2 linked regions of the Drosophila melanogaster genome follow. Each later gene encodes a partner of the first gene's protein in a complex. Each region holds a gene or a part of one and is shown in the gene's direction. Other genes may lie near its edges.

Region 1 (6,813 bases):
AAGGCTGCGAAAAAGGAGCCAGCTAAAACGGAAACAGCAAAGCCACCCAAAACCGCCTCCCATTTGTCCGGCTTCCGCAAGGCAATCCAGGCCAATGATCCAGATGCAGCCATCTCGCATAAACAAAGTGTTCTGAGTGGCGAGAAAATTGGAGCTTTGGACACCTCTCGACTGATCGAGCTCCTGGTTCGAGCTGATCGCTTAACGGAGGCCACCAAGTATGTCGAGGAGCTCCTGGGCGATAAACTGCACCCGCAGCCCAAGATCTTCAAGTTTTACCTGAACAAAATTGCCGCTGCAGGCGATCTGGAAACAATGCAGAGAATTGGCCAGCAGCTGAATGACGAGCAGAAGCGTCTGATTTCCTTTGACAATCGGTTTTGTCATGCCAATATAGTGGCCGGAAAGGCGGAGGAGTTCCTGAAGCACTTGACCACAGAAATCGATGCGGCCAAAACTCCCGAGGAGTCAACCAAGCTGGCTGAGAAGTTCCCACGCGGAGGAGCAGTTGGCATTTTGGAAAAACACCCGGAATTGGTGCCGCAATGTAGGTCCCAGAAATGCCTATTAAACAAGTGTTAAAACTATAAATTTTTCTGATAATTTTCAGATCAATCCCTCGCTGAGAAGTTTGCTGCTCACAATCAACTAGGACCCATGAATGTCCTGTGGATGCATTTGATTTCCACTGGCCAGGAGGCGGCTTCTAAGGAGATTTGGGATAAGCACCTGTCCAATGCCCCAAGGCTGATGTTCCAGCGCGTTTTGCAGACGGCTCGCGAGCAGCAGGACGAGAAGCTCGCCTCCACAGTCATTTCCCAGCTGAAGAACAGCAAAATCTCCGAGGGCGCGATCGGAAACGCGTACTCCTGCCTCATTGACATCCAGACTACCAAGGGCAACTCCGACAAGGCCATGGTTGTCTTGGCCAATGCCATTAAGGACGTATCCTTGGAAAACATCAACAGGACAGCTCTGCTGCGTCTGAAACAGGCGGTGGAGGAGAAATCCCAGAAGTTCCCCTACACGATCCCCGAGAAGCGGACGAAGGCCGACGACTCCAGCTCGTCCTCCTCTTCATCCTCCAGCGACGACGACGTGTCGCCATCGGTACCGGAAACTGTTCCACCCAAACCGGACAGCAAGGCCTAGAGGTTTCTGCAAAAGGTCCTTGTTTAGTGTAGGCCGTCGTGATTAAAGCTTATTTTTAAAGTATTTACTATGGATAAACAATTTGTAAACTAAAATAAATTTAGTTGTTTTGTTGCGAAAGTGCGCCAGTTATTTTTCTAGGGGATTCAACTGAGCGATAAAGGATCTTTTTTACTATTTTCAAGATGAAGCTATCATTTTTAATTTTCAATAAAATAATGGTTCAATTCATTCCCTTAAGACAGATCCTAAAATTAATTGGAAGCACGCATGATGTTGTAAAACACGATTGCCCGTTTTGGAGCCCAAAAATCGCTAAAAAAAAAAAGTTTCGTTTCAAATTTAATGTTCTTGTTCCATATCCTTGTTCCATTTTCGAGCTGATATTCGAAATTTCTGCAGTGCAATGAACCAAATATGTTATAACAAATATATTACACTGTTTTAGTCGTAAAAAAATCGTTGCCCTTAAATATTGAGGTTCGCTGTGCTATAAAATTTACGATAGTGCCATATTATAAAATTAATTTTAAAATATCATTTTTTCTAATGTGGAACTTGAATTTAAATTTTCAGTTCAATTTAAAAAACACATTTAGCATTTCTATAGCTGACTATCGAAACTACAATTTCGATACGATTTAGCAGTCAAACACATGTGTATATCGATACCGTCGCCACTGGTGTCCCATCTCTAATTCTATCGCCGCGTTGTGTTTTTTGCTGCCCAATAATTTTCATCGTTGTTTTCCCTGAAAATTTCTCGAAATAAACGCGCGATGGGGGAAAGCGATGCCGAGAGCGATTCGAGCAGCAATTCCAGCAGCAGCGACACTTCCAGTGGCAGCGACAGCGACGCCAGGAGCGAGTCCTCGTCCTCCGAAAGCAGCGGGCGCGAGGAAGAGGAAGCAAAGCAGGAGGAATCCGCCAAAGATGCCAAGAAAACTGACGATACGGATAGGGGGGAGAAGCGTGCCAAGGAGAGGGATGCTGGACAGGATGAGCAGCCCACTGAGCAGAAGAAAACTCCTGCGGCTGAGCCTCGTTCGGAGCGCCAGCACATTTCCCATTCTGCTGGCGTGGAAAAGCAGCAAGAAGAAGCAGTAGCAGCTGCGGAGGCGGAAAGCGAGAAATTAAATGAAGCGAAAAAAGTTGAAACACCTGTCCAGCGGAAAGAGGAAGCAGAAGCCTCAAGTGTGACGAAAGAGCTGAACAGCCCGAAGGCCCAAGAGGAAAACGCTGCACGGGAATTAGAAGAGCGGAGGAAGGATGAAGAGCAGCCAGTGACCACCAATGGAAGTAGCAAGGAATCGCCGGTGGAAGCAGCAGCTGAAACAGTGAAACCTCCCACTGCGGACCACATCGAAGAGGGCGAGATAACCGACGTAAGTCATCATGTTTGGGTAGAATTCGGTATTAAGCCGCTTTACTATTTCGTCATCAATGAAATTCAAATTATTTAATTAATGAAATTAATTCAACACAATCATTTATCAGCTAGTTTTTTCATCATCATGATATGATAAATTTTCATTTTTTAGAAAGACGAAGATGACCTACCGACTAAAGAGGAAAAGAAAGCTGTCGCATCTAAGAGTCCACCCAAAGAAACCCAACGAAAACAAAGCCGCAGCCCGGATGGCAAACGACGACGCCCACGCTCATCCAGCAGGAGTCCATCACCCAGCAGCCGTCGTCGTCGTCGCTCGAGAAGCAAAGGCAGCAGGACCCGGAGTCGCAGTAAAAGTCCAATCCGCCGCAGATCCAATTCTTTGGAGAGAAGACGCGTTGAGCGACAGAGACGTCATGAGGAGCGAGATAAACGCGATGAAGAGCGAGCCAAGGAGCGAGAAAAGCGCCATCAAAAGGGCGAACCAACCAGCAGCAGGCGTAGAGATGATTCGAGGGAAAAGAAGAGGTCGCCAGAACGCAAAAGAGATCGATCCTCCTCCACTCCGAAATCCAAATCCTCAAAGACCCCACGCCACACCGAAACCACCGAAACTAATGCAGACAATGAAACCGTAACCGAACCGGCAGCCAAAATAACTGAGCGCCAACGAAAGACCGTCGATGTGCTGACATCTCGGACTGGAGGAGCCTATATTCCGCCGGCGAAGCTGCGCATGATGCAGTCACAGATCACGGACAAATCATCCGCTGCCTATCAGAGAATTGCTTGGGAGGCTCTCAAGAAATCGATCCATGGTTACATAAACAAAGTGAATGTAACAAATATAGCCATCATCACCAGAGAGCTTCTAAGAGAGAATATCGTGAGGGGAAGGGGCTTACTAAGCAGGAGCATCATCCAAGCCCAGGCTGCTTCGCCCACATTCACCCATGTATACGCCGCTCTGGTGAGCATTATAAATTCAAAGTTTCCGAACATAGGAGAGCTCCTCCTCAAACGTCTGGTCATCCAATTTCGTAGGGCGTTCCGACGCAATGATAAGATGGTTTGCATGTCGGCCACTCGATTCATTGGCCATTTGGTTAACCAGAGGGTGGCACATGAGATTCTGGCACTAGAAATCCTTACCCTGCTGGTGGAAACGCCAACGGACGATTCTGTAGAGGTAGCCATCGCTTTTCTGAAAGAGTGTGGTATGAAACTGACTGAGGTTTCGTCTAAAGGCATTGGGGCCATCTTCGAGATGCTGAGAAACATTCTGCACGAGGGAAAGTTGGACAAGCGTGTACAGTACATGATTGAGGTGCTGTTTCAGATTCGAAAGGATGGCTTTAAGGATCATCAGGCTGTTGTTCCGGAACTGGAGCTCGTTGAGGAGGACGATCAGTTCACACATCTGATGATGCTGGATGAAGCCACCGAAACGGAAGATATACTAAGTGAGTTTATCTACGAAAGGTTTAGTTTGTATTGAACTCTAATAATTTTTACGTTTCTTTATAGATGTTTTTAAATTTGACGACAATTATGCCGAAAATGAGGACAAATACAAAGGCCTAAGTCGTGAGATCCTGGGAAGCGACGATGGCAGTAGTTCAGGCTCGGGCTCCGGATCAGATTCGGATAGTGATTCGGATGGAGAATCCGGATCCGATGCGGAAAAGAAAGCCGAGGCTGGCGACATCATTGACAGCACTGAAACCAATCTGATTGCCCTGCGACGCACAATTTACTTAACAATCAACTCCAGTTTGGATTATGAGGAGTGTGCTCATAAACTGATGAAAATGCAACTGAAACCCGGACAAGAAATCGAGCTCTGTCACATGTTTCTCGATTGCTGTGCGGAACAGAGAACATACGAGAAGTTCTACGGACTGCTGGCGCAGCGGTTCTGCAACATCAATAAGATCTACATACCGCCCTTCGAGGAGATTTTTAAGGACACCTATCAAACCACCCACAGATTGGACACAAATCGTTTGCGAAACGTCAGCAAGTTCTTCGCCCATCTCCTGTTTACGGACGCCATTAGTTGGGATGTGCTGGAGTGCATCCAACTGAACGAGGATGATACCACGTCATCGAGCCGCATTTTCATAAAAATCCTGTTCCAGGAGCTAGCTGAGTATATGGGACTGGGCAAACTGAATGCCAAGCTGAAGGATGATGTTTTGGTAGAGAGCATAGCTGGTTTGTTTCCCAAGGATAATCCACGGAATACCCGCTTCTCCATTAACTTTTTCACCTCGATTGGTTTGGGTGGTCTCACCGACGATTTGAGAAGATTCCTAAAAAACGCCCCCAAATCTGTGCCCGCAATAAATGCTGAAATTCTGGCCAATGCCGGGGGGAATCCTTTCAGAGATGGCTCTGCACCCGCTGGAAACACCAAGGTGGCCCCATCTTCGTCCTCCTCGTCATCGTCGTCTTCGGACACGGACAGCGAAGACTCCAGTGAAGAGGACAGCAGTTCCGACTCTTCTAGTGAATCTTCAAGCTCCGATTCTAGCTCGGAACCCAAAAAGAAACGCAAACGCAAGGACAAGGATAAAAAGAAATCTAAGAAAGCGACTAAAGAGAAGTCGAAAAAGACCAAGAACAAAAAGAAGAAGAAGAAGGCGGAAAAGGAACAAGAAAAAGAAAAAGAGAAGCAAAGAAAGAGCAAAAAGGAAAAGGAGAAGGATAAAAAGCGTAAGAAGGAGGAAAAGAAGGCTGCCAAGAAGAAATCAAAGCACAGAAGAAAAAGTCAAGAGAGCTCGGATTCCAGTGGCAGCGAAGACAGCGATAAGTCCACCTCCGAATCATCCGACTCATCGAATTCTTCCAGCGATGAAAGTGACGCTGAGCCTCAGGCGAAGATCAAGCGCCAGGAGCATGTCGAAAAAAATAAGTTCCGAGGAAGGACCCAAGATAGTGATGAGTTTAATTTGGAAGGTCCTGGATCCAAAAATCGCTTTCAGCCGAATGGAAATGGCCAGAGGCGCAGAGATAACTCAACTGGCAGAGAACGAAACCGGGAGAATTCTTCGTACGACAGAGAAAGAAACAGGGGAAATTCTTCGTACGATAGAGAACGAAAGCGGGGGAATTCTTCATACGACAGAGAAAGAAACCGAGAGAGTTCATACGATAAAGAACGGAAGAACCGAAATGCAGTTGCCCACGATAGACAACGAAAACGGGATCGATCACGATCTTATGAAAGACCAACAATAAGAGAGAACTCCGCTCCTCGCGAAAAGCGGATGGAGAGTAGTCGCAGTGAAAAAGACAGTCGTCGTGGTGACCGTTCCTCCAGAAACGAGAGATCAGATCGTGGAGAGAGATCGGACCGCGGAGAAAGATCAGACCGTGGAGAGAGATCAGACCGTGGAGAGAGATCAGATCGTGGAGAGAGATCAGATCGTGGAGAGAGGTCAGATCGCGAAAAGGAACGCAGTCGTGCCAAGGAGCGGGAACGGGATAGGGATCGTGATCTGAAGGGACAACGGGAGCGTAAAAGAGAGCGTGACGATGGATCCCGTGATCGTTCGCGAAGGGAGCGCAGCTCACGCCGTTCCAAGGGACGCAGCTGAATCTGGAGACTGGACAACGTGACGTGACCAACAAAGGCAGATGAATATTTGTGTTAAATATTTTACTTTTACACATGTACAAAGCAAAACCCACTAAACCGATAAAACAAAAATAAATGTACAAATGCAAATTTCAACCAATTGTGTAACTTTTTGTACAACGGAGATACTTATAGATAGGCAGCTAATATCCATTAGATAACTTACAACTAACAATTGCTAAACATTTAAATGAAGGGTAAAAAAAAGTTTTCAAACTACATAAATTTAAAATTCTATTAAAATAAAAAAAAAAAATTGTGGGCGTGACAGCAATTTGCGGATTGTGGGGGTCAAAATGTGTGTACTGCCAATAGATTTTTGGCATTTGATGGAATTGGTAATTTATAAAATGAAAATTAATTAAAACCTCTTTCAAAACTGTTAGAATAACTGATTTGGGATGTTTGTGGGACATCTTCCAAAAAAATTTCCGTTTTTATAATAAGTATGCTTAATTTTAAACTTCTAGCTTGTAATAATTCTTGATTTCACTTCGTTCATACGAACAGACGGACGAACATTACCAGATTATATACTATATAAGGTCTTTAACACTTATAAATATTTATCATTTATAATAATGAATATATTATAATTCCATTTTTATTTTCACCGATACAAAAAATA
Region 2 (3,546 bases), on another chromosome or scaffold:
TTAGTTGATGTTTTTTTGCGCCTCTCGCGGCTACTGAGTTACCTGCAGTCGAGAGGCTTCATGTTTTTATTTTCGTTTGAATCGCTCGATACAAAGCTAAGACTGCGGAAAGATGAGTGCCACAAAACATATTTGGGTTTTTATCAAAAAGCTACATTTCTTTGTTGGAATATTAGATCTGCATACACCTGATGGCCAATCAGCGTTATTCAAAATAAACAAATCAAATATGAAACTACGTTGATACCTACTTTTGCTCATGTGAGGCCTGACTATGCTTATTTCGTTTATTTTAAAATCACATTCCTAGTTTATGTACCATTTGTTGAATTGCCAAAGGAATTAATGCCTTGTATTCTCTCCCTCGCTTCGAACTAAAATTTTGCTTAATTAACAGCAGTATTGATTATTAAATTAAACAAAAACGATAGGGTGTATCTTCAGAACAGTAAGGAGATTTCAATAGCTCTCTGATTTAGTTGGACCAGGATAAAAGCTGCTTCATGTCTGGATCATCTGTAACGCAAGTTAATCGTTAATTACCAAACGTAGATCCACATGCAGTGACTGAACTCACCATCATCCTCCACGGCAGTCGTGGTTGTCGCCTTTTTCTTTTCTTTGGCCTTCTCGGGCAAATCTTCTGTGGGTGCTTCTGGCAATGTGGGCGTCGGCTCGGGTATGCCAATGATTTCCTTATCAAAGTTCTCCTGCTCCAGCTCGTCGAGTTCCCGCTCGAGATCCTCATCATCCAGATCGGCGCCGAATGCCACTGGGTTCGAAATGGCATCGGAAATCTCGCGGGCCACGTCCTGCTGCTCGGCAATGTCATCCATCATGTCGTGCACCTTGTCCACGTCCCTGCATAAAAGTGAAAGTTAGTTCCTGGTTGATACAATGGCACAAATCCATGACTCACATATTCTGATGGGCTCTCTTGAGGGCATCCGCGGCATTCTTCATCGTGGTCAAGACGGCAGTGTTTGTGTTGGCGCTCTCCAGAGCCTCGCGCTGCATTTCGATTGTGGACAGGGTGCCATCGATCTGCTGGAGTTGCTTCTCCAGCCGCTTCTTTTTCTTGAGTGCTTGCAGGGCCACTGAAAATGTGAGAAGTGGAGGAATTAGAAGGTTTCGAGGACTGGCTTATGTATATATCCGAAATATGATTTGGCCAATTCGCAATGCGTGCTTTGAAATTACTCTACTGCATGGCTTGAGTTTGTTTTGGGTATTAAAAGTAATGTTTATATTACGTTCTGAGCGATTTGCGGACACGTCCAGGCATCGAATGGTATGCGGGTGAAAAGGCAAAGAGATACATATTGTTTATTGAGTTTTCTATTTGCTGGCAGTATGGGATACTGATTAACTGGGAGCAGGCCTCGCGGCCGCAACAAAAACAAAGCAATGAGTCATTTCCCCTTGGCCCATTTGAGTGACCAACTAGGAAGCCAAGGACCTCGGCGCACTCCTCTCATACCTCTTTTGTTTTTAGACGCATTCTTGCGGGCTATATTCAGTTCGTCCTCGATCTTGGCCTCCAGGAACTCCTGCTTTTTGATAAGCATGTTCTCCGTCTCGCGCAGCTTCTGTATCGCCTCGCCGGTGGTGGGGGCCACTTCCTTCTTGCCGCCGAACATCTTCCCGAAGAAACTCATCCTGGCTGATCTGTTTTTTCACCCGAATTTAGCGAACAAGTGAGTTTTTTTCTGCTATTGCGTTTCTTGGTTGTCTGGGAGCTGTTGTTCGTATGCGTCACCCGATACCGATTGCCGTCCCCTATCGTTATCGCCTTTGTGTATGCGCTTGGCGGAGTGGCATATTTCTCCCTTACGCAGCTGGCCACTCTGGTTAGCAAACGCCGAAAAATAAATAAATATATTCGGTGCATTTTCACATTTTGCACTGCTGCCAATAGATACCCGAATTTCTGGATTGAAAAGTCCTATTTGAGTTACGATTGACAAGGAACAAGGGTTCAACTGAAAATGGCCAACCGCACGGTGAAGGAGGCCAAAAACGTGCACGGCACCAATCCGCAGTACCTCATCGAGAAGATCATCCGTTCGAGGATATACGACTCTAAGTACTGGAAGGAGCAATGCTTTGCTCTCACTGCGGAGCTTCTGGTGGACAAGGCAATGGAGCTGCGATTCGTCGGAGGCGTCTACGGCGGCAACATCAAGCCCACCCAGTTCCTCTGCCTCACACTCAAGATGCTGCAGATTCAGCCGGAAAAGGACATCGTAGTGGAGTTTATCAAGAACGAGGAGTTCAAGTACGTTCGAGCATTGGGAGCCTTCTATCTACGGCTCACAGGAGCTGCCCTGGACTGCTACAAGTACCTGGAGCCGTTGTACATAGACAATCGAAAGCTGCGCCGCCAGAATCGCGCCGGCCAGTTCGAGATTGTCTACATGGATGAGTACATTGACGAACTGCTGCGCAACGACCGTGTCTGCGACATTATACTGCCCCGCATCCAGAAGCGCTCCATTCTCGAGGAAAACAACGAAATCGAGCCCAAGGTGTCAGTGCTGGATGAGGACTTGGACGACGAACTGCCCAGCGACGAGGAGAAGGCAGACGAGACCAACCGGCCTAAGGAGAATTCGACAGCAGTGAGACGACCACGGAGAGTTCGCTCCAAGTCAAGGTCCCGCAGTCGGGAGCGCGAGCGAAGATCTGGGCAGGGCAACAGCGCCCGTTCCCGGGATTACTACGACGAACTGGAAGACTACGACCGCCAGCGAAATAGGGTGCGCAATCGGGACACCCACAACGAGGACTATGACCGTCGGCAAAACAATGGACGCCACGATCGCGAACGAGAGCGCCAAGATCGCGACAGTATCAGGGAGCGCGAGAGGGACGGCGACAGAGATCGCCGGGATAGGGAACGAGAGCGAGAACGTGACCGTGGCCGTCACGACCAGCGGGAACGGGACTCGCGAGGAGAGCGTGACCGACGACGCTACTAAAATTATAAATAAATTGAATTAATTAACCAGTAAAAAGTGTCAGAAAATTTAAACCACAAACTCTCAATTCGCCGCAAGTTGGCATCCCTAGCACTAAGAATCGAAAATCGAAATCAAAACAATAACACAGAAGAAGAAGAAGTCAATCAGCTGTTGCTGCTTGCATTTAGAAAGTTTCGAATAGAGTAACGTTAACTGCGGGAGAATCCAGCCAGCTGTACTTGTGAAAATAATACACGTACCAGGGATTTAAGCAACAATAAATCCACGTTAATCAGCAGTAAAGCAGCTGAAGCTTTAGTATCTGAAAACTCTCCGTCGCGTTTGGAAGACTTTCAGGGAACTGCGCAGCGTTCTGGTGAATGAATTGTAAATTCCATTATCTCCGGTAGACTGGTGTAAGCCAGACGCATCCACGAGTTCCGTTCTCGATAGCGAGCAAGTAGGAACGGAACGGAACGGCAGTATGCCTCGCTCTGATACGGAGGCTTTGGTGGCCGATGTGGAGACTGGCGAAGATTCGGCACCACGCATACTGGACGCATCATCTGCGGCCAGCAGTGAG

Evidence for each region.
Region 2: ncm (region 1) and Prp38 share a complex: the UniProt entries of both Drosophila melanogaster proteins name them as parts of the spliceosome C complex.

The regions. Positions count from the first base shown.
Region 1 is NT_033779.5:18,443,973-18,450,785, reverse strand, and holds ncm (nucampholin), read left to right. Parts: upstream 1-1,828; 5' UTR 1,829-1,931; coding exon 1,932-2,537; intron 2,538-2,693; coding exon 2,694-4,005; intron 4,006-4,069; coding exon 4,070-6,144; 3' UTR 6,145-6,279; downstream 6,280-6,813. Other genes in the region: bsf (bicoid stability factor), read left to right, coding at 1-547, 611-1,152. UniProt on the Drosophila melanogaster protein: Required for pre-mRNA splicing and for exon-junction complex (EJC) assembly. Hinders eIF4AIII from non-specifically binding RNA and escorts it to the splicing machinery to promote EJC assembly on mature mRNAs.
Region 2 is NT_033778.4:9,142,140-9,145,685, forward strand, and holds Prp38 (pre-mRNA processing factor 38), read left to right. Parts: upstream 1-1,816; 5' UTR 1,817-1,988; coding exon 1,989-2,981; 3' UTR 2,982-3,012; downstream 3,013-3,546. Other genes in the region: shrb (shrub), read right to left, coding at 476-516, 578-861, 920-1,097, 1,481-1,658; CG30344 (uncharacterized protein), read left to right, coding at 3,448-3,546. UniProt on the Drosophila melanogaster protein: Required for pre-mRNA splicing.